Danio rerio: one gene and its partners. The protein of the gene in region 6 purifies or fractionates together with the protein of the main gene of each other region. This does not show direct contact. Links are inferred from orthologs where the notes say so. Each region holds a gene or a part of one and is shown on either strand. Other genes may lie near its edges. The genes, in order: znf512b, chd3, parp1, dnmt1, smarca4a, mta2 and bcl11aa.

Region 1 (4,288 bases), on a different chromosome or scaffold from region 6:
AACAGCCCTCTCATCACCTAACCCACAAAGAGGAACCATAGATCTTCAAGTGCTGAAGATCATTAGACCAAATTATTTATGGCCCACAGGCTGAAGCTCATTTTGTGAGCCAGAAGTTGATTCCAGAAAGGAAAAGAGCAATAAGGTAATAGGAAAAGCAGCTGGTAGGACTAAGTGCTATGGTATTTGGGGAATTTATCACACACTTTAGAAAGGCTGTGGATGGAAGTGTGCCTACACAATCAAAGAAACACACACGGCTCATTCCTGCCACGCAATAGCTATCAAACCATAACTTCAGAAGAATAAATATGCTTGAGCTGTATTTTCAGTATTTTAATTAAAATGTTTTGTTTTTTTCCCTGACTGACAGCCTGACAGCATTTAAATGTTATTAATAATTATTTTTAGACAATCGGACAACAGTTTTTCTCAGTCGCTTTGGTGCATTTCTCACAGAACTATTTACATTTGCACAATAGTTAATGCATTTCTCAAAACTATTAGTCATTTTTGCACATCATATGAGCAGTTTCTCATTCCTTCCAACAAATTGCAAATTCTCTTGGACATGCATCAAAATAAAGCACCAATGTTAATCATTAAGTTAATCATTCATTTATTTTCTTTTCAGCTTAGACCCTTTATTAATCTGGGGTCGCCACAGCGGAATGAACCACCAACTTATCCAGCATGTTTTATGCAGCGGATGCCCTTCCAGCTGCAACCCATCTCTGGGAAACATCCATACACACTAATTCACACTCATACGCTGCAGACAATTTAGCCCACCCAATTCACCTGAACCGCATGTATTTGGACTGTGGGGGAAACTGGATCACCCGAACGAAACCCACGTGGACGCGGAGAAAACATGCAAACTCCACACAGAAACACCAACTGAGGAGGTTTCTGTGTGGAGTTTGTATGTTCTCCCTGCGTTTGCGTGGGTTTCCTCTGGGTGCTCCGGTTTCCACCGCAGTCCAAAGACATGCAGTACTGGTGAGTAGGCTAAATTGTCCGCAGTGAATGAGTGTGCATGGATGTTTGAATTGAAGCTGGAAGGGCATCAGCTGCGTAAAACATATGCTGGATAAGTTGGCGGTTCATTCCGCTGTGGCGACCCCAAGTTAATAAGGGGACTAAGCCAAAAAAGAAAATGAATGAATGAATTATGTCACTTCCTTGGGTATTATGTTATTTAAAACATGGTTTATCTTTAATATTTTAGTAAGATCTAAATAAGATGATAAAAAGCAAAATTGGGGGCACAGGACATCTCTATTTAGCCTATCATTCATTACAATAATATTTTTAAGAAAATATTTTAGTTTTGCAGTAACACAATAAAGGTGTAATATTATTTCATGAACTGCAAGTTATTTTTTTTTCAGTTTCACCCCAAGCTAAAACTAATGTCACATTTTGTAATTACAAACTTTTAATAATCAACCCAATGTAATAGGACATACACAGTTTTTTAATACAAGACACAATGTACAGTAATTTCCCAAAGGATTGGGTTATTAAAGAACTGTCTGTTTTCCATTATTTCTAGACGGTTTTACAAAACAAAAATAATATGACATTGAAGTCACAGGGAGAAACTTTCTGGTTATTGATTAAAGCAACATTTCAAAGAAAACATGGTTCACAACAACACACCGACTGTAAAATATTCTGGGTTCCACACAATCGATTTTGTTGGGTCAACATAAAGGAATTAAGTTAATTTATTAGTTCATTCAAATTTAAGTGGATTGAACATAAAACAATTAAGTTATCCCCACAACAACTCAAGAATATTATTGCTTAAACTTAATTTATATAAGTTGTTAAACACACACAGAAAGATAAACATCTGTATTACTTGTGCAAGTTTCATTTTCACCCCATGGTAAAACTTGTGACATTTTTCCATTAAACTTTTTAATATTTAACCCAACATGGTAGGACAAAGACAAAACATGCGCACAGTGAGGATGACCCACATAAGTGCTCAAACAGTGTGTGAGTGGTTAATAATATGACTGACAGCTCACATATAAACACCACAACACATTCCACTAGCATATTCCGTTCCACCTCCAAAAAAGCACTAACACCATATAACGCGTTAAAGCACGCGTCTTCCCAGAGGAAAGGTGCGTTTATGTCTTTATTGACAGTATTGACAGATAATCGACTTCTCGAAGGCCACACCTACCTGGAAAGCCACCCAACACTGACGGGTGAGCGGGTGAGCGGGTCACCCACGTGGGGTCAGGCTGTAGCCTTTACTCTCGCGTCGCGCAGCTTCACTTTACATGGCAAACACACCTGACGCGCGGGGGGTCGCGGGGAGACGGGCGTCACGGTCGGTAGCCACACTCACGGCCCCCGCTGTGCGTATCCGCGGAGGAAGATGATGAAGGAGGAGGAAGAAGATGAAGAAGGAAAAAAGAGCCAGCTGATGCAAATGCTCACAAGCCGACTACTTTCACCGTGTTTCCAGACTGCACTCGGCGCCCCTCTTCATTAATATGTAATCCACGAGCTGTCTCATTAAAATCCAACTCATAAGCACGCACACAGATACGGAGAAACGCCGGCAAAAAATATCAAAATACAAGAAGCTTTCATAGGCAGTGAAGCAAAATGGCGACTTTAATACGAAGGAGGAGTAAAAAAAAAAAAAAAAAAACCTCGCGCTGTTGCTAAAGGAGGCACGGGGATATGTTTAGTGCAGTAATCGAGGCTGGAAGAAGTGAACGCGACGGAAAGCGGAGGGGAAAGGCACGGCGTCGCGCAGTTTCCGCCGCAGCCCCCTCGATATATTCCTCTCCTTACCTCGGGATTATGCCGTGTATTTGTTTGATAGGGATATTATCTCCGCGACCGTGTACAGTAACAGTATGGGTGCTGGGTCACGCGCGTATCCGCTGCTGCTGCCTTTGACAGTTGTGACTACAGTCGGCAGGCAACTTGCAAACTCTCGCGTTATTATTTATGATCACTCATTTTGATATCAGGCCAATCATTTTGGTATTTCTGCATAATAAAGCTCCTGCCTGAATGGAAGCGTTTGATGCGGCTCGACGTCATGCCGCTCCGTTATGACGAAAAGGCTCCGGACGGCTACAATCTATCTATATGTAGTGGGCGCATAATATGAGATCGTTTGCATTATATGACGTAACTTGTACGACTCGTGGATTCAAGAAGAGATTTCGTAGTTGTTAAAGACTAGTTAATAATCTGAGAATGGGCATATTATCGACGTCGAGTAGGCTACTGTATTATTATAGGCTGTATTTTAGTTTATACCCATACTAATATAAATATTTTCAGTGAATAGCTTTTGCTGTCCATAGAAAAAAGTGTTAATGATCATATTTTAACATGACATCATACCAATTGTAAAGTTTAATGTGCATACAGTTAAAGTCAGAATTTTTAACCCCTGAAATATTATCCCCCATGTTTATTTTTTTTTTTGCCGAATAATTTCTGTTTAACGGAGGGATTTTTTTCAACACATTAAAGGCAAAAAAAATTAACTTAAAGAAGGCAATACCTTTTTAACTTAAAATGGATTAAAAAAAATTAAAACTGATTTTATTCTAGCCTAAATTAAAAAAATAACACTTTTTCCAGAAGAAAAATTGTAACATACTGTGAACATTTCCTGCTCTGTTAAACATCATTTGGGAAAAAAATAAAATAAATTCAAAGGGGGGCTAATAATTCTGACTTCAACTGTACATATGACATAGTTTTATTTATTTAATTTTCAAAATGAAACGTCCATGCATTTATTTTTATCCATTTATTTTTATTTTTGCTTTTTAAAATGATATAGACTAGTTCAATCCAATCAGTACCAAATTAGTTAAATGTCTATCTACAAGTCTTTGAATTTAAAATAATTAGATTTATAAGTTATAAAAAGAAAAATTATGACAAGATTAAGTTAAGCCAGAAGTCATTAAAGTTGAAGATAAAGTTAAAGTTGTGATGTGAGTCACGGTTAAAATATAATGCCTTTTTTGTTGTTGTTTTTGCTTTTTTAATGTTGGTTAAAATTTAGCCTATATTCCATAATTTCCCTGTTGTCAAAATCATCACTTTTTGGTCTTACAATACGAGAAATTGTTTTGGTTCTAAGCAATTTCGGCCATTTTGTCTTAATGCAAAATATTATAGAGTGTAATGTAAAACATCTTGTAATGCTTTTTAAACAATTCATTTTCTCAAAATGAATTCACAACAGAAAAATATACAGTTGAAATCAGAATTATTAGCCCCC
Region 2 (3,813 bases), about 2.9 Mb from region 6:
CTAACGTTTTGAGATTTTGGGCTGTTATGTTTACAAATTTTGTCTTCATTTAAATTAGTGAAAATAAATGTAAAAAATGAAGGTGACTTTTTTATTTTTTAATTAATTAAAAAATGTATATATATATATATATATATATATATATATATATATATATATATATATATATATATATATATATATAGTTACAATACTTGCCTGTATGTGTTTTTTAAATTACAGTTCAAGAGCCAGAAACTTTTGACTTATATTTGAATCACCAAGTACCACAGTTTGAGCTAAAAATCCTAATTATTATTGTGAATGACCTAAATGTGTTTAATTGTACTGTAATTGTACCTTAATTGTACTGTGATCAGCTGAGGAAAGCATGATGACATTCGCTAGGTAATTTTCCCAATTAAGTTATATGCTATTCATTTCAATTCAATTCTCTAGATTCAATTGTTAACAAGCTTTGTATTTATATAAAATAGCGACTAATAAATCTGGCCACCTTTGCCCTCTTTGGTCTTGGCCTTGCGTAGTGGAGGTGGTTGAGGTGGAGGTTCGGGCGAGGCTGTTGCTGCGGAGACCTGCTCGGCAACGGCTGCAGCCGCAGCGGCAGCAGCTGCAGCGACGGCTGCTGCCGAACCCTTGAATGGATTATTGGAGCTGAACTCCCGCCATTTGGCCCCAAGAATGGTCATCATCTTGGACATGGGGATTTTAGGGTTCTTCTTAGCAATCATGGGCCTGCAGAAAACAATATGTTGACATACATCCAAAACACACAAGCAATCAATTTAATCAATTTTGGTCTGCAGATTTTAATGACACTAAATAAATGAAAAGGCCATTCCTTCAAAATGTGTTATTTTCTTAAGTTTTAAATCTTTAATTTGGCAGGACTTTTAATTCATATATATATTTAGGGATTAAACTGGGGGGTATGTTCATTCATACTTAATTTGCTTTGCTTATATATTACATTTTGTTCCTCAAATTTTTTCTGGATGTTTGCAGTATTATCTAAATTATGCAGTGATTCAAAAAAAATTCCCTCTGTAAAATCTTTTGACTCTCATTCATTCATTTATTTTCTTATCGGCTTAGTCCCTTTATTAATTCGGGGTCGCCACAGCGGAATCAACCGCCAACTTATAAAGCACGTTTTTACGCAGCGGATGCCCTTCCAGCCGCAACCCATCTCTGGGAAAATCTTTTGACTTTATTAATTAAAAAAAATAATTTACTCTGACTTTGTCGAATGTTTTGGTGCCACAAATGTATGTAAATTAGTGCATATTTAATGAAAGAATGTCTCATTTACATATTTTTACAACATTCGAGAAATATTTTATTACAAAAATGCTTGCCATTCTTCGTGTAATCAACCAACTCAGGAATTAATGAGATAGTATTGGCATAAATATGATGCAAAGGAACAACAACGTGTCAAACTTCTAGTGAAAGTCAGTACCTGAGGAACTGGCTGAAGGCTTTGTAGTTGGTTAACGTGCGGTAATCTTCTTCTGTGAATGTGTGATCAACATCCTCAAGTCCCCACTCTCTCGCCAGCTGGGCTGATGTTTTCATCTCTACCGGCTGGAAGAGAGAGACTCTGTCACATGATCGTCACAGTGTGGATGGGTAATAAGAATCCGGAAATATCTGTATCCTAAACCCCACTTTAGCTTAGCTGGATCAGTAATTATGTGTGTGGTATATTATTATTGACATGAAGCAGAAACACCATGTTATGTTTTCAACAATCTTTCATAATTCCTAAATGGAAGCGCAAGAAGAACGTCTGATCATGTGTTTGCATATGTGTTTGTGAATGTGTGAAGATTTGAATGCAAACACTTTACATGAATACTAATTTCAGGCATATAAATAGTGCTAACACAAGCTCTCAAGAAAACACCTCGTTAGTTCTGATTCTATCTGTAAATAAACCAGTTTATTGACTGGTATTGAGGGTAAGATTACATAACATTGCTTTTAATTAGAAACAATAGGTTTTAAGAATTTTGACCATTCATGTATATGACAACAGAGTTTGGGAGGACAAAAAGCTATTCTGAGCCATCAAGTGCAACTTATTTTCTGGAAAATATGGTAAACATACTATTAGATCATTTTTGCTAGCTTTAATAATGACGCTGTTTTGATGTAATTTTCAAAATTGTCCTAATCAAATCATTAATTAAACTATCACAACTTGGAATGACTAAATTGTAATATTCCATAAATTGATTTGGCTCAAAGCGTGTAAACATATAACGTACATATTAACAATTCAAAATAATCAAGTATAAATACGAGGCTCTGACTAATAATGGATGCTTGGTCAAATTAGGCCAATTTGTATGGTTTTGAAATCTTGTGAACTCTGTTGTTTTGTTGTTGCTGATATTTGTGTTTCATCAGTAGTCCGTGTTAATATGATTTAAGTAGAGGTGCCATCGCGTGCACACAAGAAATCACAGAAAAAGCTAACTGATATGACACGATGCATAAACTTGCATAAACTTTTATATTAAGCAGTTTACATGTGTTTGTTGCCTCGTTACAAATACACACTGCAAATTACACACAATATACACGTTAAACTATCAAACAATACATTTAACTAGACAATGTGCATCTTTGGGGTGGTGCTGAATAAATTTATAATCCGTCTATCCTACATTTTGCATTCTGATGAGCTGTGAACATCCGGTGGTCTGACTGCTTAAAAAAATGCTCATTTTTAGTCTCACTGCCTCTCCCAATTTTAAAATAAAAGTCCCACGTACATAGAAAGTTTAATACAAGCATAGAACTTAAATATATGGGGAAAAATTATCATTGTTGTAATCTCACAAGGAAATGTTGTGGCCAATCAAACGCTGCCTAGGGAGTGCATATTAAAATAATCAAAGTTGATGTTCTGTTCTGATTGGCTTGATTTTCAGTGGGATTTTACACTGACATAATTTATATGAAAGAAAGAAAACAATGGGGTTTGAGGCTCATGAGGCATGTCATTATAACCATGTACTGAACTCTTATTGTTTAGATTTGCCAGGTATATTTAGATTTTCATTCTATGGCACCTGTAATTACTGTACACCTGAATTAAAGTATATTTGCCACTAGATACATTCTTTAACTCATTTAGAAAAAAATAAAAATACATTCACAGAAAAAGGCATGCAATTTCTACACCACTTGAGCCAAGTCAGAATGTTTATATTTTTAAATCGGTTTTCTTTCTCGACTTGGGTAAATTAATTCAATTTCAAAGTTAACAATGGGCTGATTGTGTTTGATTTGGACACAGATAATGGTTAGGATGAGCACACAGCCTACAACAGCAAAGAAGACAAGAATACAAAAGGACGCAAAAGGACGGATAACCTTCGTGGTCTCTTCATGCGTGCTGTCTTCATCCTCTTTCTTCTTTTTCTTGGTTTTCTTCTCCTTCTTGTCCTTGTGTTTCTTCTTCTTTTTCTTCTCCCCTCCATAATCACTGGCAGCACTGTCAGAGTTCATGGCATAGTCCGGCTCTGAGTCTCTCTCTATGTCACTCTCCTGAAAAAAGAGAGAAAGAAAATAATATCAATCTTGAGGCCAAATGATTAGGGCTGCCAATATATTGCATTCACTCTTTTTATACCATATTTAATTAAATATGTATATAAATTTAGTAATAAATTTGAGCAATTAGTCACTTTTAAAGGCTTCTTTCATTCACAACCTTAAATTCTGTCATTCAAGGTGACCTTTTCAACATATATAGAGGGGAAAAAAGTATTGAACACGTCATCATTTTTCTCAGAAAAC
Region 3 (3,813 bases), on a different chromosome or scaffold from region 6:
AGATGAGTAAGAAAATGGAGGAGGTGAGAGACGCAGGTGTCCGCGTGGTGGCTGATGATTTCCTTACTGACATCAAGGAGTCCGGCAAGGCCCTTCAGGAGCTCATCTCTCTGCATGCCATTTCCCCCTGGGGCGCTGAAGTTAAAGTCGAGGCCCCGGCTGCAGCCGCGGCCACCAAATCCACCGGAGCTCATTCCTCAAAGAGCACCGGCAAAGTCAAAGAGGAGGAAGGTTAGACATGTCTGCAGATTTACGTAGAAAGTAACTGATACAAAGGGATAGTTCAAACGAACATGAACATTTACTCACCCTTAAGTGATTTCAACACTATAAACAAGCTGTTTCGAATAATGTTAGAAACCTGTAACCATTGACTTACACAGAAGGAATAACAAATGCTATTAAAGTCAGTGGTTACAGGTTTGCAGCATTTTTCTAAATAACTTTTTATTTCAACAGATGAAAGAAATTCAAAGCTGTTTTGAATAATCCTGAAAACCTGTAACCATTGACACCCCATAGTATTTGCTTTTCCTACTGAGGAAGTCAATGGTTACAGGTTTTCAGCATTTTTCATAGTAACTTATTTTGTGTTTAACAGAAGAATCTCAACGCTGTTTGAAAAAAATCCTGAGAATCTGTAACCATTTACATCCCCAGTAGGAAAAACAAATACTATGGAGTGTCAATGGTTACAGGTTTTCAACATTTTCAAAATATCTTATTGTGCATTCAACAGAAGAAACTCACAGCTGTTTTGAAAAATCCTGAAAACCTGTAACCATTGACATCCACAGTAGGACAAGCAAATACTATGGAAGTCGATGGTTACAGGTTTTGGTGTTCAATAGAAGAAAGAAACTCAAACCGGTTTGTGACAGGGGAATGCTAATTAAATGATGAACGAAGTTTTGGGTGAACTATCCATTTAACATCAGAAATTGCTTGAGATTTTAATCATTTATTCATTCATGAATTATTAAATCATACTTTACAAACTTGGGACGAAATAAATATTGATTTTACTATTGTTTATAATTAATAAACAGTTTGTTGTATCCTTTGGTTTATAGTGGTATTCTGTTTAAATAAATCGAACAGATTTCAGAAGTGGTTATAAAGGTGTCTTCTGAAGGAATTTTAGAGTACTTATCATTGATCAAATTGAAAACTTATGACTTTTTATCAGTGAATTGGGTAAGCTAAATTGTCCGTAGTGTATGTGTGTATGTCCTGGTCCTCCAGGTTGGAGATTAAGCGTTGGACTAATGACCCACCTCGTAAAAATTTGATATTACGAAACACCAACATGGTGCGGCTAAATATCAACTTAGATATAAACGGTCCTGGAAGTGTTATTATTATTATTTTATGGTGATTATTTAGTTTTTGTTTCTGAATACTTTTTGACTCCACAGAAAATCGTAAATCATTGGTTGTTTTGTATCTGTTGTATTTAAGTTTGCTTGTCATTTTTAAAATCATGTTACAGAATGTACTTGCAGAATCATCATATTCGATCTAAAATGATAAATATCGCAATATATATTGCAGTAATTAAAATTATTGCAATGCCAGTTTTTTCCAATATTATCCAGCCCTAATTTGTATGTTTTTTTTTGTTTGTTTTTTTTGTAAAACGAATAATTAAGAAACAGATATGATTGCAAATTATATATTGAATATTACTACCAGTGTTGTCAAGAATGTAGCCAATGCTCCTGATATGGCATTAAAACATAAATAAATAAATAAATAACAGAATATAGAAAAGCACTTGCATGTTTTTTTAAATAATTTGTAAATCTTAAAATTACTTATTTTACCTTCCTGCTTAATAAAAACCCTATTTTCTTCTTCCTGCAGGTGGAAGCAAATCAAAGAAAATGAAGCTGACAGTGAAAGGAGGAGCTGCAGTAGATCCAGATTCAGGTGATTAACATTTTCCCCCATATCTCATTCAGGCGACTCTGAATATTACATATGGTCATGTACTGTTTATTCAGATCTCTAATCACGGTTTGATTGTTCAGGTCTGGAAAACTGTGCTCATGTTCTGGAACAGAATGGAAAGATTTACAGCGCCACACTGGGTCTCGTGGACATCGTCAGAGGGACAAACTCATACTACAAACTACAGCTGCTGGAGGATGACGTTCAAAAGCGGTGAGCTTTCTGAAGGATTCCTATTGTACAAACATTTATTCTTAAACACAGTGATTTTCTTTTTGTAATTTCAAACTTTGTGTTTTTCTTAGACTTTTTAAGAAGGTCTTTTAACAAATGCCTGCTTTAAAACCTTGCAGATGTGTATGTTTTTTCATATTTCTTTAGAAAAGTGTTAAAATAGGGTACAATTTTATGTAGGATAATCAATACAACCTTTTGGCATTTTGCATGTATTTTGTGTGTTCTAATTCTTTCATTTTTATATATTGAACATTTATAACTTCATTTTATTTCAAGTTGTGAATATAGTATTATTAAATGAATAAAGTAGTTTGAGGGTGCTTTCACATCTGTAGATCAATTGTTTAGTTCGGAAAGTTTCTAATGGACCAAAATAGTTAAAACAAGTCACTTGTGTGAGTTTCAGGGTTTATTTTTCAGAGTTATTCTTATTTATGATGATGATAAATGAGACATTATAAGCAAAAAATGTGCACTTTAATTTTGACACCCACAGACATTGTCAATAAATATAAGTCAGAGAGGTAAGACTTTCTCATACATGGCCTCATTTTAGTAAAAATCTATTTATTGAATCAGTCAAACTTTTGAAAAAAAAAACTGGTTCGAATTCTGCACTATAGGCTTAAATTATAGAGAGAAATAACAGATGAACCAAGTCTGCAGTCAGATCACAAAGCAGATCAATGTTGATCTTTCTTTTGAGGTGTGAGTGCAGAAATGAACAAAACAACAGGCTTAATACAACATATTATAAAACTAAAATATGGAAAAAGCTATTGAATGTTAATTTTGGTACATTTTTCTAACACATAAACAGCTCTGTAAAATTTCAGCATGCTTTCACTTTCGTATTCGACTTGAAATGCACATTTACAGGTAGGAAGGACATCTCACCCTTCTCATAATTCTCTCTTCATATAGTCGTATATATGCCTATTGCATATACATAATACACTGTGATATAGTCTGGTTCATTAGTTTGTTGGATCGCTTTGCTTTCTCTCTGCAATCGATCTGCACCCTAATATTACAAAAAAAGATTTTAATGATTTTTTTTATCGTTGTTATTATATCTGTCACTACTGCTTTGTCTGTTTTATCTGTATTATATATTTAGTTATTTATCTTTGCGTCTAAAATGGATAAATAAAAATTATGATCACACTTTACATTAAGGTTTCATTAGTGTATTTGACGTGAACTAATTAGGAACAACACTAGTACAGCATTTGTTAAACGTAGTTCAACATTTAGTAATGCGTTATTAATATCCAAATTCATGCATGTTAACTCTAGTTAATGACGAGCTGTATTTTCATCAACTTACATTAAATAACATGGACAGATGCTGTAATAAATGCATTTTTCATTGTTTGGTCGTGTTAGTTTATGCATTAACTAAGATTAACTAATACAACCTTACTGTAAAGTGTTACCGAAAATACTATTAATCATAGTTTAACGTTTACTAATGCATTATTAAAATATTAGTTAATTAATTCAGTTCTGTTGAGTTGACAAGAACTAACAATGATTAACCTTTTGATTAACTAAAGTCAACAAAGATGCTGTAATGTTTTGTTCGTTGTTTGTCCATGTCAGTAAATGAATTATTACAAC
Region 4 (3,813 bases), on a different chromosome or scaffold from region 6:
TATGCTCCCTTTGGTCCCTTGTGAGTGTTTTCAGGTCTGAAAGCAAACAAGTTTGGGGAGAAAAATAGTATTGAACTCCCTTAAGGTACAACCTCAAAATCAGACGCACTGGTTGGAATCATTCCGGAGAATAAAAGAGTTACCTGTAGAATTTATAGAGGCGCAGTTTGATCTCTGAGGTGTCTGGCTTTCCATTGCTGCGCTTGTTGCAGAAGATTTCTTTGATGCGCCCAATGCGGAAAGGCTGAGGAGCATCCAGATTTGAGCCTTTAATGTAATCAGAGGACTTCCTGTAGTATTCAGGGTAAAGATCTTCATCAACGTCATCTTTTCTGTGGGAACGCTTCACCGGGCTTGCAGCCTTTACTCTAAAAGACAAGAGGTCCATTTAATAAAACCACTCAAATAGAAATCCCTTGAGGCAGTAAATAATAAAGAGCTTACACAAAGTTAAAGGCCTCAGGTGGTAGGTAGACACTGTCCCCTACTTTGTACTGCTCTCCCTTATAGTTCACCAACCCATAGAAGACTTTAGAGTCACTCTCCTCATCCTCTAAGGGCTCATAGGCATGGGGAACAGACTCAGCCTCTCGTTCTTTGTTTCTGGTGCAGCTGGCACAAAACCTAGTGAAACATAACATTTTATAGCACAAATACAGAACAGGTGTCCCATTAAAATAGGTCAAAAGGGGCTCTTACTTATACTTGCAGTCCTCAGAGGGTGTGACCTTGGGAGGAGTCTCAAAGCGAGCACATTCACCTTCATAATGGAGCTGATAAAAGAAGCTTTCACCATCATCGTCAATCACTTTGATGTCTTCATCCATTCCACCCTTCAAAACAATAACAGTGTTAAAACCTCTGCCCAGTTTGTTAAACACAAACACTGCCCACACTTTGGCGTATGTACCTCCATATACCAGTTTTCAGATGGTGCCTTGTAGAAGACGTTGACCTTGCCATGGATAAAACTTAGCTGCATGTCTTCACACTCATCCACTAGGAAGAGCTCAAGAGGGTCTGATGACTCTCCAAGGACCGTATCAGTGCCACGGCAGAACCAATGGGCATGAAACATCTTCTCACCATCATCCCACAAAGCTGTAATCCTACAAATTTAAAGAAACCAATGATTTACTAATTAGAGAGTCTAGTAAACATGTTAAACCTTTTGGTTTTACAAAAGAAATTGCTTTGATAATTTTACCTGGCCAGGTAGAGAGGATGTGATGGGTCATCAGGGCTTACAGATACACAATCTCCCACCTCCAACACCTCATTTTCCACACGCACTTTCATGTAATATTCCTTCTTTCCCTCAGTCTGAAAAGATGACGGCAAAAAAAAAATAAAAATTTAAAGTCTTCTAAATTTGGGAGGGGAGAAAAGTCTCCAGCCACATGAAAGCTAAAAGGGTTAGTAGCACAACTTGACAAACTAAGGCAAAAACAGCAAAAGCCATGAAACAAAAAGGAGTTTACCAGCTACAACAACACCATTTCTAAAAAATTTGAAGACTACAGTGTTAAGATTTTATTTCCCTAATACTGCATCGGATTATGGACCAATGACCAAACCAAGTAGAAAAATCTACTGTTTTGCAAATACCCATTTGAGTAGACATGGCCATAGTCCTGGAAAAAAAAAAAAAAAAAAAAAAAAAAATATTGTGTCCGCTGCCAGATAAAGATTGCATACCTTTAATGGCTCACCAACCCAGCTGATTTTGTTCTTGGTTTGTTTCTTCTTCTTGGTCTGAGACATTTTCTTTGTATCCTTAACTGGCAACACATCCTCCTCATCCATGTTCTCATCATCCTCAGCTTCTTTCACTGCCAGGTTGGGACACCTGGATGGACAAAACAAACATTAGGCTTTAACCTGGCAAACAAATCCAAAATCATGAAGTTCGATATCACCAACAGGATCTGCTTCTCAAAAGGGCTATTCTACTGTTTGGTTCAGAGACCAAGTGTGCTCTGACCTTTAATAGTTCAAAACAACAAACCTGGAGTCACCAAATATTGTGCAATCAACACAAGGTTGATATATTCATGATGTGCCTAAGGCCCTGTTTACACTAATGCGTTTTAGTTTGAAAACGCATAAGTTTAGCTACGGTTACGCCAACTGTCCACACTACGCCGGAGTTCGAGCGCCGAAAACAGAGCGTTTCGAAAACGCTGGAGAGGCCGTTTTCATTCTGAAACGCTGGTGCTCCGTCTTAAGTGTGGATGAGCAAAAACGGAGACATCTGAAAATGGAGGCTGGGCTGTAGACATTCGCTTCTCTGATTGGGGCTTTTCCTCAATATTAAGTAGCCTAACACACACAGTTCAGTCCTGCATCCTCTCCTTGCAAGTTCAGACTTTGCAAGTTTGATCAAGGCTGCAGTCTATTCTTCTCAGTTTGATATGGAAAACAGACTATACCGAGGACACGGGTAAATCTTCAAAGAGAACAGTGTACTGTATAACTTCATTCACCCTGGCTACGTTGTTTCACTTTCTCAACAATAAAATCAAATGTAAACATGATTTAAGGAACTGCCTATTTTCATTTTGATATTAGCAACTTAACAGACAGCAGAAATGTTGAGGCGTCGGGCTGCATGCGAGCGTCATCTTCACTGTGTGGATATTTATAACAAAACGGAGCCGATAACAACTGCCTCCTTTCAATTTCAGTTAAAATACGAAACATACCCTCTCTTTTGCTGAATATAAGTTTTAATAATCGATAATGGCCATTATAAAAATATAACATACAATAATTTTATACATTATAGGAAATAAAGGCAAGCGATCAGTCAATAATACAGAATAGGCTACGTGGTTACATTGATCATTAACTTATCTTTGCGCTTAGCCAAAACACGTTACCTGAGAACAAGTAGGCTAATATATTCTAGTGACCAAAGTCAGGGAATATGTCGTTAGATAAAGACAACAAGATGAATGAAATATCACGTTTAATAAATATAGTGAGATTAGATCCAGCAGGAGATGCTTGATGAGAAGTCCGACTAGCACAGCTCTCATCTGGGTAGATGGGCTGCAGCGCTGGCCCGAATGTGTGTGTGTGTGTGTGTGTGTGTGGTCATGTGATGTGCGTTTTCAGAATTTTGGTGTGGACGGAGAGCAGTTCAGAAACGCTGGGTAAAAAGCGAGTGTGGACGCGGATCGTTTTCATTCTAAAACGATGTTTTAATACTAAAACGCACTAGTGTAAACGGGGCCTAAAAGGTCAACAACTAGGAAGTTGTTTAAGACAATTAGATATCATTGTAACATTTAATCTGAGATCAATTAAATATACATGCCTAGGTAAATGAAATGCCAATTTAAAATGGCATGAGTATAGACAAAATTGGCACTATAAATAGTAAAAACTATTAAAAACCTTAATTGTTGAATGACATTTAGCCTCATTCAAAATGTTAATCATTATAATATAAAAACAGAGAAAGCAAAGAAAGGCCTTTAAAACACATGGAAAATACAAAACTGCTGAGGAGAATGATTACGCAACAGCAAAGACTGCACAGTAAGCATACCTCCTCTTCTGACAGGCTTGTTTACTTCTGCCACTGCCTCCAAACTTGATCATATCCTTACAAGCTGAACACTTGCCGCAGTCTGGAGCTTGACACACCTGAAATACCAAGGTCGCCAATCATCATGCTTGCATTTCAGTTAAACTGTGCCTGCTATTTTCAGACAACCAACCTCACAGACACCACACCGTTGTCTCTTCACACCTCCATCCTTATTGTTCTGGTCAATCTGATCAGAGAAGAATGTGTCAAAGATC
Region 5 (3,813 bases), on a different chromosome or scaffold from region 6:
ACTTAAGTGCAACATTTATTCATTCAATCATTCATTTTCCTTCGGCTTAGTCTTTAATTCAGAGGTCGCCACAGAGGAATGAAATGGCAACTATTCCAGCGGATGTTTTACGAAGCGAATGTCCTTCCAGCTGCAACCCACTACTGGGAAACACCCATAGACACTCATTTACACAGACACTCATACACTATGAGTGTATGAGCCAATTTAGTTTATTCATTTCACCTATAGCGCATGTCTTTGGACTGTGGGGTAAACCGGAGCACATGGAGAAAACCCACGCCAACAAGGGGAGAACATGCAAACTCCACACTGAAATGACAACTGGCCTAGGCAAGGAGTCGAACCAGCGACCTTCTTGCTATGAGGCAAATGTGCCACCGTGTCACCAGATGTGCAAAACTTTTTTTTTTTTTTATAGTGTAACAGTGTCCTCATGTTAAAAACAGTAGTGAACAAATGTTAAACAGTGTTTTAACAATATAAGTTTGTTTCAAAAACATTAGAGTAACAATTTATTTTCACAAAAGAAGCTGTGTAAATGTCTTTTAATAACAGTAGTGCAACTTATTAACTACCTAGAACACAGACCTTTTTTTTAAATGGTCAAAACCTTATAACAGGCGTAACTAACCCTGTTCCTAGAGACCTATATTAAACACACCTGCCTATAATTATCAAGTGCTGTTCAGGTCCTAATTAACTGGTTCAGGTGTGTTTGAACAGGGTTGGAGCTGAACTTTGCAGGAAGGTCGATCTCTAGGAACAGGGTTGAGCACCACTGCCTTATAACAAATTTAAAAGAAACCTCATAAAAAACTTCAAACAAACCGCATTTAATACGTATACGTCATAATTTCAGGTGTGAACTCTAAGAGTTAAGGGGTTGAAGAGCTAGAGCAGTTAAAGAGTCAAAACATTTTCTTCATTGAATTGAATGCAAATTTAGTTACTTGTGTGTGTGTGTGTGTGTGTGTGTGTGTGTGTGTGTGTGCGTGTGTGTGTGTGTGTGTACTTTTTCCCTTTAAGTTTAATTATTCTTCATTGATTATTCTTGTTCAGCTCTTGGGGTAGGGCTTGGGTTAAAACAAAAATAGAAAGAAGGAAACTAATGTTTACTTTTGTATTGTATGTAGATTATATTTTCCTTTATTATCATTATTATTATTAGTAGTAGTAATATTAATGATATTAATAATAACAGTAATAATAATCATCATCATCATTGATTATTCTCAAGTACCTCTTCCTGGTCTTCCTCACTGTCGTCATCACTAACAACAGGTTTAGGCCGCGAGCTGCGTCCGGTTCGGCGTCGTCCTTTTCCTCTCTCCGCCTTGTCCTTTCTACTCAACTTTATCTTCACCTTCACTGAACGAGCTGTAATATATACACAAACAAATATTTTAATATTGGGCTTAATATAAATTAGAGTTGTAAGTGTTTTATACTGTAATCAGATAATATTTGGATTCATTCATGTAGCAGTATGGACCCTTTTCACTTGTCTGGGTTTCTCAGTAGCGGAAGTCTTTATAGTGGAGTAAACGTAGAGCGCAGTGAATACGAGAGTACAGCAAATCTTTTTTTTACAATCCTACTTGCTGAAAAAAATGAAAGCAAAACTCCCAGATGGTTTTGGCAAGACTTTCAGAAATAGGAAACAAATAGTGTGAGATCGATAACGGCAACCAGGAGAGAACATTTACTGTCCTGCCCATACACTGTTTTACAAATGCCTCGCACAAGCAGTAATTTGTTTTTTGTAATTTGATGCAAAGATGATATGATACATACATAAATAAATTCAAATGTTCATACCATTTAAATTTTAAATGCTGATGACTGAAATGAGTCATAACAATTTGGTGAATGGAGACCATTATTGTCAACTTACATTCAGACTCGGATCCTTCATCGACATCATCCTCTTCCTCCTCGCTGTCATCTCCCTCACTCTCTTCCTCCTCTTTCTCGATCTTCTGCCGCACGCTGGTGAACACAGACTGCAGCACGATAGAGTCCTCGTAGATCTGAAATGTCAAACCCTCAACTCATTTAATGATTTTAGGTTGCTTGTACCAATTTAAAGACACTGATGCAGTAGATGGAAAAAACATTTATATAAAACATTATATTATAACCTATTGCGCCATATTCAATTATGTTTAGCTTAAATACAACAACTAAAGATGAAAATTAATGTCAATTAAAGTTTTATGCATTTAAAAATTGACAAACTAATTATTTAAAACGAGTTGAGTTTAGACAACTTAATTGTTTTATATTCAATCCACTTTTGTAAATTCTATTAGGTTAAGTAATCGATTTTTGTTGACACAACATCATGTAATTGTGTTGAACACAGCATTTTTTACAATGTGTTTTGATGAAGGAATTATTATAAAAAAAAATTAAGTTACAAACATTTTAAAATGTGGAAAACCTAAAAAATAAAGTGTACAAAAACAGATATACTTAACACAATACTTCTTTTTTTTTTTTTTTTTTTTACTGCGCATTCACATCGAAAGCAGAAAAATAGCCGAAAGCACACAAAAAGCGTAAAAAAGTAGCCGGAAGTCATTCATTTTCAATGGGAACCAGCGGTTGCACATCTTCGCTAGTGCGGCCGCCAAAGAGAGTTGAAATCAAGTCAATTTTCTAGCAGTGAGCTATGACACAAGTTCATTTTCATAATATAAAACAAGATTTTTTTATGCGGGAATAACTGATCGGCTGATATACTGTGATAGCCCCTCTAAATACGAGATCAGTGTAGCAAATTTTTAAGCCCTCACTGGGGGAGCGGTAAACATCTTTTTAAATCTTCCAAAACAACTATTAATGGTTATGTTATGGGATCAGAAAAATATTAATCTGTAAATTTTTGACAGCGTTGTCGCCAGGGTGGCCAGAGCAAACTTTTTCAGTGTGAAAGACAGTTACACACTTACACATTTTTCATCTTTTTACACAAAAAACATCAGTTTTTTTGCACAAAGACAATAAACTTGGTCGAATTGGTATTTTTGATGGGTGTTTAATAAGATTGTGGCTTAAAGAGTATGATGAACATTACCAAAGATCCCTCCAGGTTGAAGGTCTGAGCGTTCTGACACAGCAGCATAACGTCCTTCTCTAGGTCATTCAGACTGCGGTACTTGTGACTCCTGATGCGCTCCTGTGTACAGCAGAGAGAAGGATTTAACACTGAAATGTTTATTCACACATATATGGTAACACTTTATTTTGATGGTCCAATTAAGTATTAGTAAACTGTCTGCTTAATATCTGCTGATACTGCTCCTTCAACAGACATTTAACTGACTATCAGAAACTTTGCAAGTACATGTCAACTTGCACTAACCCCAACCTAACAGTGTACTTATTTGATGAGAATTAGTTGGCATGTAGATGCAATGTAACTTAAATTCAACAAACAGACCCTCAAAATAAAGTGTGACCAAATATTTTGTTGCATTCATTAACCAATTCATGAAAAGCGTTCGTATTATAACTCTATTAATGCAATAATTGAATAAATCAGAGTTGATTTACACCCTAAAACATTGTCAGAATTGTCCTTTCAGGTTTAAAATCTAAATAAAAATCAGAAAATACTACATAATGAAACATCCAGAGTTCTCAACCATGTTTGTGAAACAGCCAAACTATTCAAGACCCAAAGTAAAATCTAATCCGTTAGTTATTACAAATGAAAAGTTGACAAACCTTGATCTTCCTGAAGTCCACAGGTTTGCGGATAAGTTCATAATACTCGGGCAGCTCTTTACGAGACGGCAGTTGAAT
Region 6 (4,494 bases):
AAATAGTCATGAAAATACATAAAAGTCTTAAATGTACCATAGGAACGGTATAACAGAAAATTGATGGTTTTAAAACCTTGACTTTGTATCTGACTGACTGCACTTCGTTTGAGCAAAATGTATCATCCAGGTGTCACAGATGTAAAACATATTCAGGATCAATCATGCATTTTTTGGGGGAATGCAAAAGCTAAACATTTTCCGGAAAGCAGTACAGGACTTCACATCCAAAGCTTTGCAAATTCCATTGGACAACACACCAACACCATACCTGTTTGGTACAGAATTGAAAAAGACACTTCATACTACTTCTACAAAGCGACTCGACATCATTTCTTATCTTCCAAAAAAATGCATTTTGCTCAATTGGAACCAACAAAGGCCTCCAACATTTAAACTGTATATACAATTCTTAAATAAAACAATGAGCACTGAGGAAGGCATTGTGCCAAAACATCTGTGTCTTTTAATCACCCGTTGAATGTAAGAGAAAGAAAAAATAAAAACAGTACGAAGAAATTACTTGAGTGCGAATCATTAGCTTTTTTGAATAATAGCATTGACAAGATTGACAAACCAAACCAAAGAAGTTCCTAAAAAATTGCAAGTGTACAAGGCAAACTTCAGCAACTCTACGCACGTTAAATGAAACAATGCTCTTAAAGCAAAATACAAACTGCTTAGGAAACAAAAGAGATGTCTTTCAGAAAATATGGATGCCTCTAATGGCTGAATTTATTTTCATAATAAGTGTAACTTTACTCAAATCACAGCAAAACTTCATTTGTTTATTATGATTTTTGTATTCTGTTTGTTTTTTTATGACTTTTGTTGCAATACTTGTGTCTACTGATATCCTTGTCTTTGTCCTTTTTTGTTTGTATGTTCATTAAAACCAAAAACAAATTTGGATGGATGGATGGATGGATGGATGGATGGATGGATGGATGGATGGATGGATGGATGGATGGATGGATGGATGGATGGATGGATGGATGGATGGATGGATGGATGGATGGATGGATGGATGGATAGATAGATAGATAGAAAGAAAGAAAGAAAGAAAGAAAACCTTGACTTTTCCAAAACTCGGTAAACCTTGAAACAGTTATCGTGTCATGCCTATTGCCAGAAATATTCCAGTGCAACATCACTTTTTTTTTGTAGTCCACAGTCACATAAATGTGAATAATGAATAATTTTCTACTTAATGATGCATTTTTTTTTTAAATAGAGGTAGAAATTTAATCTTCATGATTTTAATCATGACACTTCCGCACGGGTTGTCGGTCGAGCAGAGTTACTGTCAAACGCCAGTTTCTTCAAAAGAGACAAATATTGACTTATGATTCAGCCTGGCAGCACTAAACAGCAGATACCTCAGTCGATCACTAATGCATTCTAGGAAGCTCAATGACAAAAGCAAACACTCTGGTCAAATGAACTGAACAAAAAACAGTGACAGCATTTGAGTCACAAACCTCCAGAACACAGAGGTGAAAACGCAGAGATGCAAAGCTCGAGGCTAAATAAGGAGGTCAAGTCCAGTGACCTACCGAAAGCAGTACCTGGGTGTGCAAACCTCCCCAAACACTAACGAACAGCGCAGTCAAGCTACGACAGAACATCATTACAGTGCCATCCCACACAGCACCTTCATTGGAGAAAACGGTTCAAATGACAGTTGTGAGTTGACGCAGACTTCTTCTTCGTCTGAACCCAGTCTCGCGTCGTAAACACTAATACATTTTGACAAGCGTGTAATAAGTGAGTTCTTTCCTGCAGAACTCGCTGCATGTTCAATCTGCAACTGCAATAAAGCAATCAGCGGCGTCTGCTAAAGCAACACAGGCTGATTGCCGTGACCTATTTACGGCCGATTCACGGATTTAAGAACGTAAAGGCACTGTAATGTAGATGGTTACCAAGCCGTCAGTCAGTCAGTGATGTTAACGCATATTATCATCACCAGCATCTTACAGACAAAAGACATATGAGAGGCATATGTAGGAGAGTCTACAGTAGAAGTGAACATGTATGATGGAGAAAACTTCAGCTGGATAGGACATTATACGCGCCTTCTGCATATATGAGAATAGAAAAGAGACTTTTTTTAGTACTAAACACTATTTCTAGGTTAACCAAGTGTAAACATGCGTGTAATACACCTTTAACTAAACATTTTGGATTATTTTACTGCTTCCTTTCAAACAGGTGACGAAACTGAAAGTGCGGCGAGTCTCCCATATGATTCAGTTGTCAAAGGTTTGACAGATTGACAGAGTTTGGGAAACGTGCACGACAAAAACTTCAACATAACTCTAGAAAAAGTAAGTAAAAAGCACTATAATGGATTAAACTAACGCAAGGCTTTCTGTATAATTAGCTCATTTGCTTGCGGCGGCTAATTATTAAAAAGAAACCAAAACTACTGAGTTAAGAAAGACTTTAAGAGTCAGCACGAGTTTTTAAACCTTCACAAGTGAACTTTAATACATATATTAATAATTAAATTCGAGTTATCCCGAATGCAGCCGTAACGAAACTAGCCTAGCCTGCTTAGCAACGGGATTCCGCTCATTGTAACTAAGGCGGAAACAGCCGCTCGCGCTAATGCTAATGCTAACCCCCGCGAGCCTGCTGCTAGTGTTAGCCTTAACAATAATACTCACCTCCAACTCGGTACATGTTGGCCGCCATTCTCTCGCTCTCCTAAACAAACGCAATAATCGCAGATTCCCTCTTCGTGGGAGTCAAAATGTGTATCCGAACGTGGTGCTGGTTCTTTATATCCTCGCGTGTGCTGGCGTACTTCCCCCCGTCGCGAGACAAAGCCGGGACCCGGCACGGCGCTGCCGCTCTGGCGGGTAAAAGTTTAAAGTTTCCGCTACAATGTTTCTCCGGATGGTAAAAAAAGATCGCGTCTTTGTTTCGGCGCTGCGATAAAACTCCCATCGAAGCCCCTCTCAGACATTCACACTTGACACGAGCCCTTGATAGCCAGCCCGTCTCTCTCTTTCTCTCTCACTCACTCCACTCTTCCTCCCATCCTCCGCTCCCTGCTTCATCCTCCTCTTCTTCACCTCCGCTCTGTTTCACACACACACACACACATACGGGCGCGCGCACGGGCACGCACCCCCTCTGCAACGTCATTTTCGAAAGCTCGCAACGTCACGTCGAATTCGGAAAACTCCTGGCAAATATACATTTCAGTCAAGAAATGGGCTGAAGCTAAGCCGAACTGTGAACATTTTACAAAGGAGACTAAACAGTATGGCACTACACTGTGTAACATTAAAAACAGATAAGCTAAAAAAAAATACATTTGAAGCATTATGCAAATTTAATTTGATTAAATAAATATTTTGTTTTTTATTATCCTACCCATCTACAGAGCTTAGCATATATAAGTGCACCCCTCACAAAACTATCTTTTACATATATGATTTTAATAGAAAGCTTACAATATTATATTTGTGGATATACATTAGATTAGTCTGTACTAAAGCTAAATCTGGAGCTTACCTCACAAAATAATTTACATTAACGGCCAAAAACTAGTACAACCAAATTTATATGATATAGAAAAATATTAAATACACATTTAAAAAAAGGAAAAATCAGACAAAGCAAAACATTATATTTTTTTGAAAAGTTTTGTAGGTTGTAGTTATTTTGGAATATTCATTCATTCATTCATTTTCATGTCGGCTTAGTCCCTTTATTAATCTGGGGTCGCCACAGCGGAATGAACTGCCAACTTATCCAGCAAGTTTTTACGCAGCGGTTGCCCCTCCAGCCGCAACCCATCTCTGGGAAATTTGCAATATTTAGCTTGAATTTAATTGTATTATCTTTCAATTTCTAAATATATTTGGTGACTAAAATATTATTTTAATAAACATATCTGTCTAATAAATCTGTTTTGTATAAACACACCGAAATACACTGCCTATATTCACTGAGAAATGGATAAACATATTCATTTCATTTTCAAAATGGGGTGTACTCAATTATGCCAAGCACTGTATTTATTTTACTCCTGGCATCTGTTTATACTTTGATTGTGTAGCTAATAAAATCATCTCATTTTTATTTTGTTTTATTTGTTCATAATTGTTGTGAAATGTTCACTCACCGGCCACTTTATTAGGTACACCTGTCCAACTTCTCGTTAACCCAATTTTTTTGGGGGGGGCTGCAACTCAATGCATTTAGTCAGGGTCAAGGTGATCTGCTGCAGTTCAAAGTGAGCATCAGAATGGGGAAGAAAGCTGATTTAAGTGACTTTGCACATTGCATGGTTGTTGGTGCCAGACAGGCTGATCTGAGTATTTCAGAAACTGCTGGGATGTTCACGCACAACCATCTCTAGCCTATCCTAGTATTGTTGCTGACCATGTCCATCCCTACATGACCACAGTGCACCCATCTTCTGATGGCCAAGCGTGAATCATCGGACACTGGTGTTTTGATCACGATATTAAGTTA
Region 7 (4,522 bases), on a different chromosome or scaffold from region 6:
TTACCCAGCACAAACCTGACTCAACTTTCGCGTTAAGATCTGACACCTCGCGTCGGAAAAAAACACACGCGCACCAACACAGCGATCAGTCTTGGTCCAGAAACAAAGATGTCAGCGTATAAGCCTGCAAAGCAGTTTCACTCACTCGCTCGCGGGTCACGTATTATCTCCAGCATTCGGCTTCAACTCCGATCGGTTCCCTATTGAATTGTGCCTTTTCCCCGCAGACTGTCACTTGTTCACGCAGCCTCTGCTTTCTCTGGAGTAGTCGCTATAGTCTAGTTGTACTTCTACTAGTTCGCAGGGGTGTCTCTCTCTTCCTCCCACCTCATGCATTGAACTAGCTTGTCATCGCGTTCGGTTATACGCTTCATGTCTCTTTAATTTCGAATGCATCAGCGCTGTTTACAGCATCTTTATATTTCTAAATCCACGCGGCGGTTTACTGACACCCCCTCCTCCCCCCAGTCGCCATTCTCTATAATCTGAACACATCTGAAAGTTATTACCCCGTCCCCTTTCTTTCTAGTGGGCTGCTCCCACAATCTATTCGTCAGTGTGTTGTTATATTTTTACAATTACACTCTTGTAGTATTTAAGTCCCACCTACATCGCGCGCAGAGCGCACGAGCAAGTATCCCATCCCGCTTTATGTGATGTGCCTTAAGTTTCTCTGAGCTGGAGGAATGTGGCAGCGCACGCGGCGGTTGAACCCTGCACATGCCCCGGCTCGGAACCTGTCTGTCCTGTTCATGCAACCCGATCGTGTCTCGCTGAAAAGCAGCTACCTTGCGCGCTACCTTTGACTGTTTGACCAGGAGTTGAGTCAGTGTGTTTGAAACACCATCAGTGTCCACTACGAAACCTTAAATGCGAGGCTCCTCTCTCACTGTCTTTGTATATATAGCACGTCCGGCCCCCTTGAATCTCCTGTCCATTGGCTTTTCGTGCTCTGTTTTCCTGCGTCCACCCCCAGAGCGCGAGCGCGCGCGGACGCACACACACACACACACACACTCCGCAGCGCACATTGCTTTCATTAAACATATCTCCCCCTCTCTCTCTCCTTGTGTGTGTGCTTGTCTCTCGCTCCCTCTTTCTCGCCTCTTGTCCGGCCCCCTGATCTTTCTGTCCATTGGCTTCTTCGGGTCTATTTTTCATGTCCAGCCCCTAATGAGTGTCCATTGGTTTTGTTATTTCCACTCCCTCCTCCTACTCCACGGCTTTGCCCTGCCCATGTTCTGTATGTCTGTGTCCATCCATCTCCTGACGTTCAAGTTCGCAGGGACGTCACGTCCGCACTTGAACTTGCAGCTCAGGGGGGCTTTTGCCATTTTTTCATCTCTCTCTCTCTCTTTTCAAAAAAGCCATGACGGCTATCCCACAATCCATCTTCCCTGCGCCATCTTTGTATTATTTCTAATTTATTTTGGATGTCAAAGGCATTGATGAAGATATTTTCTCTGGAGTCTCCTTTCTAACCCGGCTCTCCCGATGTGAACCGAGCTGAAAGCCACCACCAACCACCATGTCTCGCCGCAAGCAAGGCAAACCCCAGCACTTAAGCAAACGGGATTTTTCGCGTAAGTAAAGACAAATATATGTTGTGCCCGTTGCCTTTACCTGTTTTTTGGCTGCGTTGTGTAGCGTTGAGTTGCTGGAGAGGAGCGTAATTCTCAGGGAAGACACACTGGACATTGGACAGCGCAGCGCCGATCAAGTGGACTTTAGCGAAGAGAGCGTTCCCATCTCTTGAATGCCTTTACGCGCACCGAATCGCCAAAAAGTTTGTCTTCCATCGCTGTACTTGGAGAAGTTCGTGTCGACTCTGTGTTTAGGCGCATATGTCTTGGCTCTCGTGCCCCAGTCGCTTTGACCACTTAAGAGCAAACGCTCACATATACCGGACCGTGGTGGGTATATGCACGCGTGCTTTCGCTTGCTTATTTACTCTCACATCTCGTGGAGTGTCCCGCAACGCTGTCTGTCTGTGATTCTGGGCAGGATTTCCCCCCTCTCGCACTATTTTTGGAAGATTTTCAAAGAGTGGAAGCGAATTTTGATTGGGAAAAATCTCGTGTCCGACTGTTTACAAGCGCCGCGTGCGCTTACTACCCACTGCCAGCAAATAGAGCACGATAGTCTTCTGCCTGAGACTAACAGCGCAGAGTAAGACATCTGCATATAGCCTAATATCGTTTCGAGTTTTACACATTAACGCTTTTCTAACGTTTGAAGCAAAACGCGGTTGTGCAGTATTTGTGGGCTTTCGCTGAAAAGCAGTAGAAGAGTATTTTACGTTACGCTCTTTGCCGTTTCGAGTACATTTGCAAGGAGAGAAATACGATTTCTATTTAGGCCTGATTTTCGTCTTAAATGTCGTTGACAAAGGTAAGACGAAACCTAAATATAATGCAACTATTTGGATACAAATGTATCGAGAAAACCAGGCTTTTTATGCATATATTCGTAACACACTAACCTACTGTTCTTCCAGAGATCATGTTAGTTGACACACTAAACGTGCTTTGAAGGACTGTGATAAGTTGCATTTTTCTAAATAAAGTATGCTTCAGATTATATGAACCTGAAATGTTGTCAGGAGCTCGACGACACAACCATTTAGCTTCTATCTTTTTGATGTTTTAGTTTTGATGTCTGAAACGTAAATCTTCAAAAGCATTAGTCCGCGTTTTAATAGATAAACGTGTTTGACACAAATCCTGAGTTGTTGTAACATTGTAAAGTATCGTGTAACATTATTGGGTTTCCACACACAGGCTGTGGATCTCAGCGCGGGTTACTCTGCGCTTTCGCTGCTGCACGTGTCCGAAATCCACCGCTAGGGGGCACACGACGATCATAAACTAGACTCGAACCCGATCAGTTTCAGCACTATCTATATTTGACCATATGTTTGCAAGAGCGAAACGTATTGTATATGAACTTGTAACAGTTTTTTTTTTACCCCGTCCTGAACTGGCATGAATTATAGGATTTTTAAAAAAATGTCTTGTATATTTTGTAATGGATCTAGAAAACTAACATGACTTTCAGGTAATGCAAACAGAGCCAGTATCGATCTTGATAAACTTTGCCATCCAATTTATAATTACACAGAAGACGGTTATTTTTAAAGCAAAGAAACAACAAGCGAGCCTACAAACTTTTTTAATGAATTTATTCAAAACCCCTTTGAATTTCATACACAGAGAAGCTAATACTAAATCTTTTTTTTGTAATAAGATGCTTTTGAATTTTAGACAAATTAATTGTTTTTAAGTCTTTAAATATTTTTTAGTTTAAGAACTGATTTAATTTGAAATGCATATGCAGGTAATGTAATTTAAAACTATTGTGAAAACTCAGTTTAATACAGTTTTCCACACTTTCCACAAATTTTGAGTTGGCTTAATTTGTTTTAAAATGGTTGAATATTCCTTCAAAACACATTCATGGAATCCTAGTTTATTTATGCAAGGTCAATCGTAGTCTGTGAAGTATATATAATAATATTTAAAAATATGCATATGCACGGAAATCTTTAAATGCCATTACCGATTGTAGAATAACGCATAACTTTAAATGTTGTATTAAGCTATTGTATTAATGTTACATTTTATTGAAGCTGAAATATCTATTAAGCAACTATATGTACTCGCTGGGTGTTATTAAATTATGACTCAAGTTTTTGCAAATATGTCGATTATCTCTGTTTTTATCACAAAATCACACATTACTGGACGTTCTACATCTGGTATCATTACGAATTTAATACGAATCAATATCAATCTGTGTATCTTGGAACCAGATACAAAAACGTTTAACTTCACTTTAAATTGCTCCTATTAGAAATGCAAGCAATTACGCACAATAATACAATGTAAAAACGGAAAACATTCGCTCATATTTAAGGGTAATTGATCACGTTTCGTCTTTGTTATTTCATGTGCAAACGTGTCGAATATTTTACTCATAACCACGTCTGGGAGATACTTCACATCTGCCCCTCAGTATCTGCCCCAGACTGGGCTGAGGTAAATTTAACCGCCCTGCTCGTGATCCCAACACCTTTTTTATTATTATCAAAATCTGTACCAATCATCACCCACTAAAATTAAAATCTATTTTTTGATTCTCAGTGGTTTTAGGTTCATTAAAGCATGAAATTGGCAGCTTATAAAGAAGGTCAAGATTCTTAACCATTAGCAAGCTAGTGTAACCTCCGCGCGAAAGATTTCGCTAAACAGCCGTTATAAATACCTGTGTGTGTGTGTGTGTGTCTGTGTGTGGACTGTATAGCTAACTTTATTGAGAATGGAAAAAGGTATCAGTACTTTTACTCCAAGTGTGAAGCATGTATTGATGCTGCTGTGACTGTTTTGGTTTTGCTGGATATCTACACGTGTTGTACATGCAGTCATAATCCAGATGTGTGTGTGTGTGTGTGTGTGTGGTTGAGTGAAACAGTCAGTCTGAGATGTAGTTTTAAAAACCAAAACAGATATAACTTATGTTCATT

Evidence for each region.
Region 1: the proteins of mta2 (region 6) and znf512b purify together in Homo sapiens (affinity purification with mass spectrometry; 3 studies listed by BioGRID and IntAct, with this or other methods). This does not show direct contact. The link is inferred for Danio rerio from reciprocal best matches to the Homo sapiens genes MTA2 and ZNF512B.
Region 2: the proteins of mta2 (region 6) and chd3 purify together in Homo sapiens (affinity purification with mass spectrometry; 8 studies listed by BioGRID and IntAct, with this or other methods). This does not show direct contact. The link is inferred for Danio rerio from reciprocal best matches to the Homo sapiens genes MTA2 and CHD3.
Region 3: the proteins of mta2 (region 6) and parp1 purify together in Homo sapiens (affinity purification with mass spectrometry; 3 studies listed by BioGRID and IntAct, with this or other methods). This does not show direct contact. The link is inferred for Danio rerio from reciprocal best matches to the Homo sapiens genes MTA2 and PARP1.
Region 4: the proteins of mta2 (region 6) and dnmt1 purify together in Homo sapiens (affinity purification with western blotting; 3 studies listed by BioGRID and IntAct, with this or other methods). This does not show direct contact. The link is inferred for Danio rerio from reciprocal best matches to the Homo sapiens genes MTA2 and DNMT1.
Region 5: the proteins of mta2 (region 6) and smarca4a purify together in Homo sapiens (affinity purification with mass spectrometry; 3 studies listed by BioGRID and IntAct, with this or other methods). This does not show direct contact. The link is inferred for Danio rerio from reciprocal best matches to the Homo sapiens genes MTA2 and SMARCA4.
Region 7: the proteins of mta2 (region 6) and bcl11aa purify together in Homo sapiens (affinity purification with mass spectrometry; 4 studies listed by BioGRID and IntAct, with this or other methods). This does not show direct contact. The link is inferred for Danio rerio from reciprocal best matches to the Homo sapiens genes MTA2 and BCL11A.

What each region holds. Positions count from the first base shown.
Region 1 is NC_133198.1:14,911,575-14,915,862, reverse strand, and holds the start of znf512b (zinc finger protein 512B), read right to left. Parts: upstream 2,962-4,288; 5' UTR 2,207-2,961; intron 1-2,206. UniProt on the Homo sapiens protein: Involved in transcriptional regulation by repressing gene expression. Associates with the nucleosome remodeling and histone deacetylase (NuRD) complex, which promotes transcriptional repression by histone deacetylation and nucleosome remodeling.
Region 2 is NC_133182.1:20,738,890-20,742,702, forward strand, and holds part of chd3 (chromodomain-helicase-DNA-binding protein 3), read right to left. Parts: intron 3,562-3,813; coding exon 3,388-3,561; intron 1,588-3,387; coding exon 1,463-1,587; intron 736-1,462; coding exon 497-735; intron 1-496.
Region 3 is NC_133195.1:46,981,016-46,984,828, forward strand, and holds part of parp1 (poly [ADP-ribose] polymerase 1), read left to right. Parts: coding exon 1-231; intron 232-1,866; coding exon 1,867-1,932; intron 1,933-2,033; coding exon 2,034-2,166; intron 2,167-3,813. UniProt on the Homo sapiens protein: Poly-ADP-ribosyltransferase that mediates poly-ADP-ribosylation of proteins and plays a key role in DNA repair.
Region 4 is NC_133178.1:57,143,123-57,146,935, forward strand, and holds part of dnmt1 (DNA (cytosine-5)-methyltransferase 1), read right to left. Parts: coding exon 3,729-3,813; intron 3,655-3,728; coding exon 3,557-3,654; intron 1,850-3,556; coding exon 1,699-1,849; intron 1,324-1,698; coding exon 1,208-1,323; intron 1,110-1,207; coding exon 911-1,109; intron 834-910; coding exon 700-833; intron 625-699; coding exon 445-624; intron 369-444; coding exon 144-368; intron 37-143; coding exon 1-36. UniProt on the Homo sapiens protein: Methylates CpG residues. Preferentially methylates hemimethylated DNA. Associates with DNA replication sites in S phase maintaining the methylation pattern in the newly synthesized strand, that is essential for epigenetic inheritance.
Region 5 is NC_133178.1:18,060,916-18,064,728, reverse strand, and holds part of smarca4a (SWI/SNF related BAF chromatin remodeling complex subunit ATPase 4a), read right to left. Parts: coding exon 3,736-3,813; intron 3,185-3,735; coding exon 3,083-3,184; intron 2,034-3,082; coding exon 1,898-2,033; intron 1,381-1,897; coding exon 1,244-1,380; intron 1-1,243. UniProt on the Homo sapiens protein: ATPase involved in transcriptional activation and repression of select genes by chromatin remodeling (alteration of DNA-nucleosome topology).
Region 6 is NC_133182.1:17,876,516-17,881,009, reverse strand, and holds the start of mta2 (metastasis-associated protein MTA2), read right to left. Parts: upstream 3,085-4,494; 5' UTR 2,701-3,084; coding exon 2,673-2,700; intron 1-2,672. UniProt on the Homo sapiens protein: May function as a transcriptional coregulator. Acts as a component of the histone deacetylase NuRD complex which participates in the remodeling of chromatin.
Region 7 is NC_133188.1:29,070,086-29,074,607, forward strand, and holds the start of bcl11aa (BCL11 transcription factor A a), read left to right. Parts: upstream 1-1,423; 5' UTR 1,424-1,528; coding exon 1,529-1,583; intron 1,584-1,973; exon of another isoform or gene 1,974-2,391; intron 2,392-4,522. UniProt on the Homo sapiens protein: Transcription factor. Associated with the BAF SWI/SNF chromatin remodeling complex. Binds to the 5'-TGACCA-3' sequence motif in regulatory regions of target genes, including a distal promoter of the HBG1 hemoglobin subunit gamma-1 gene.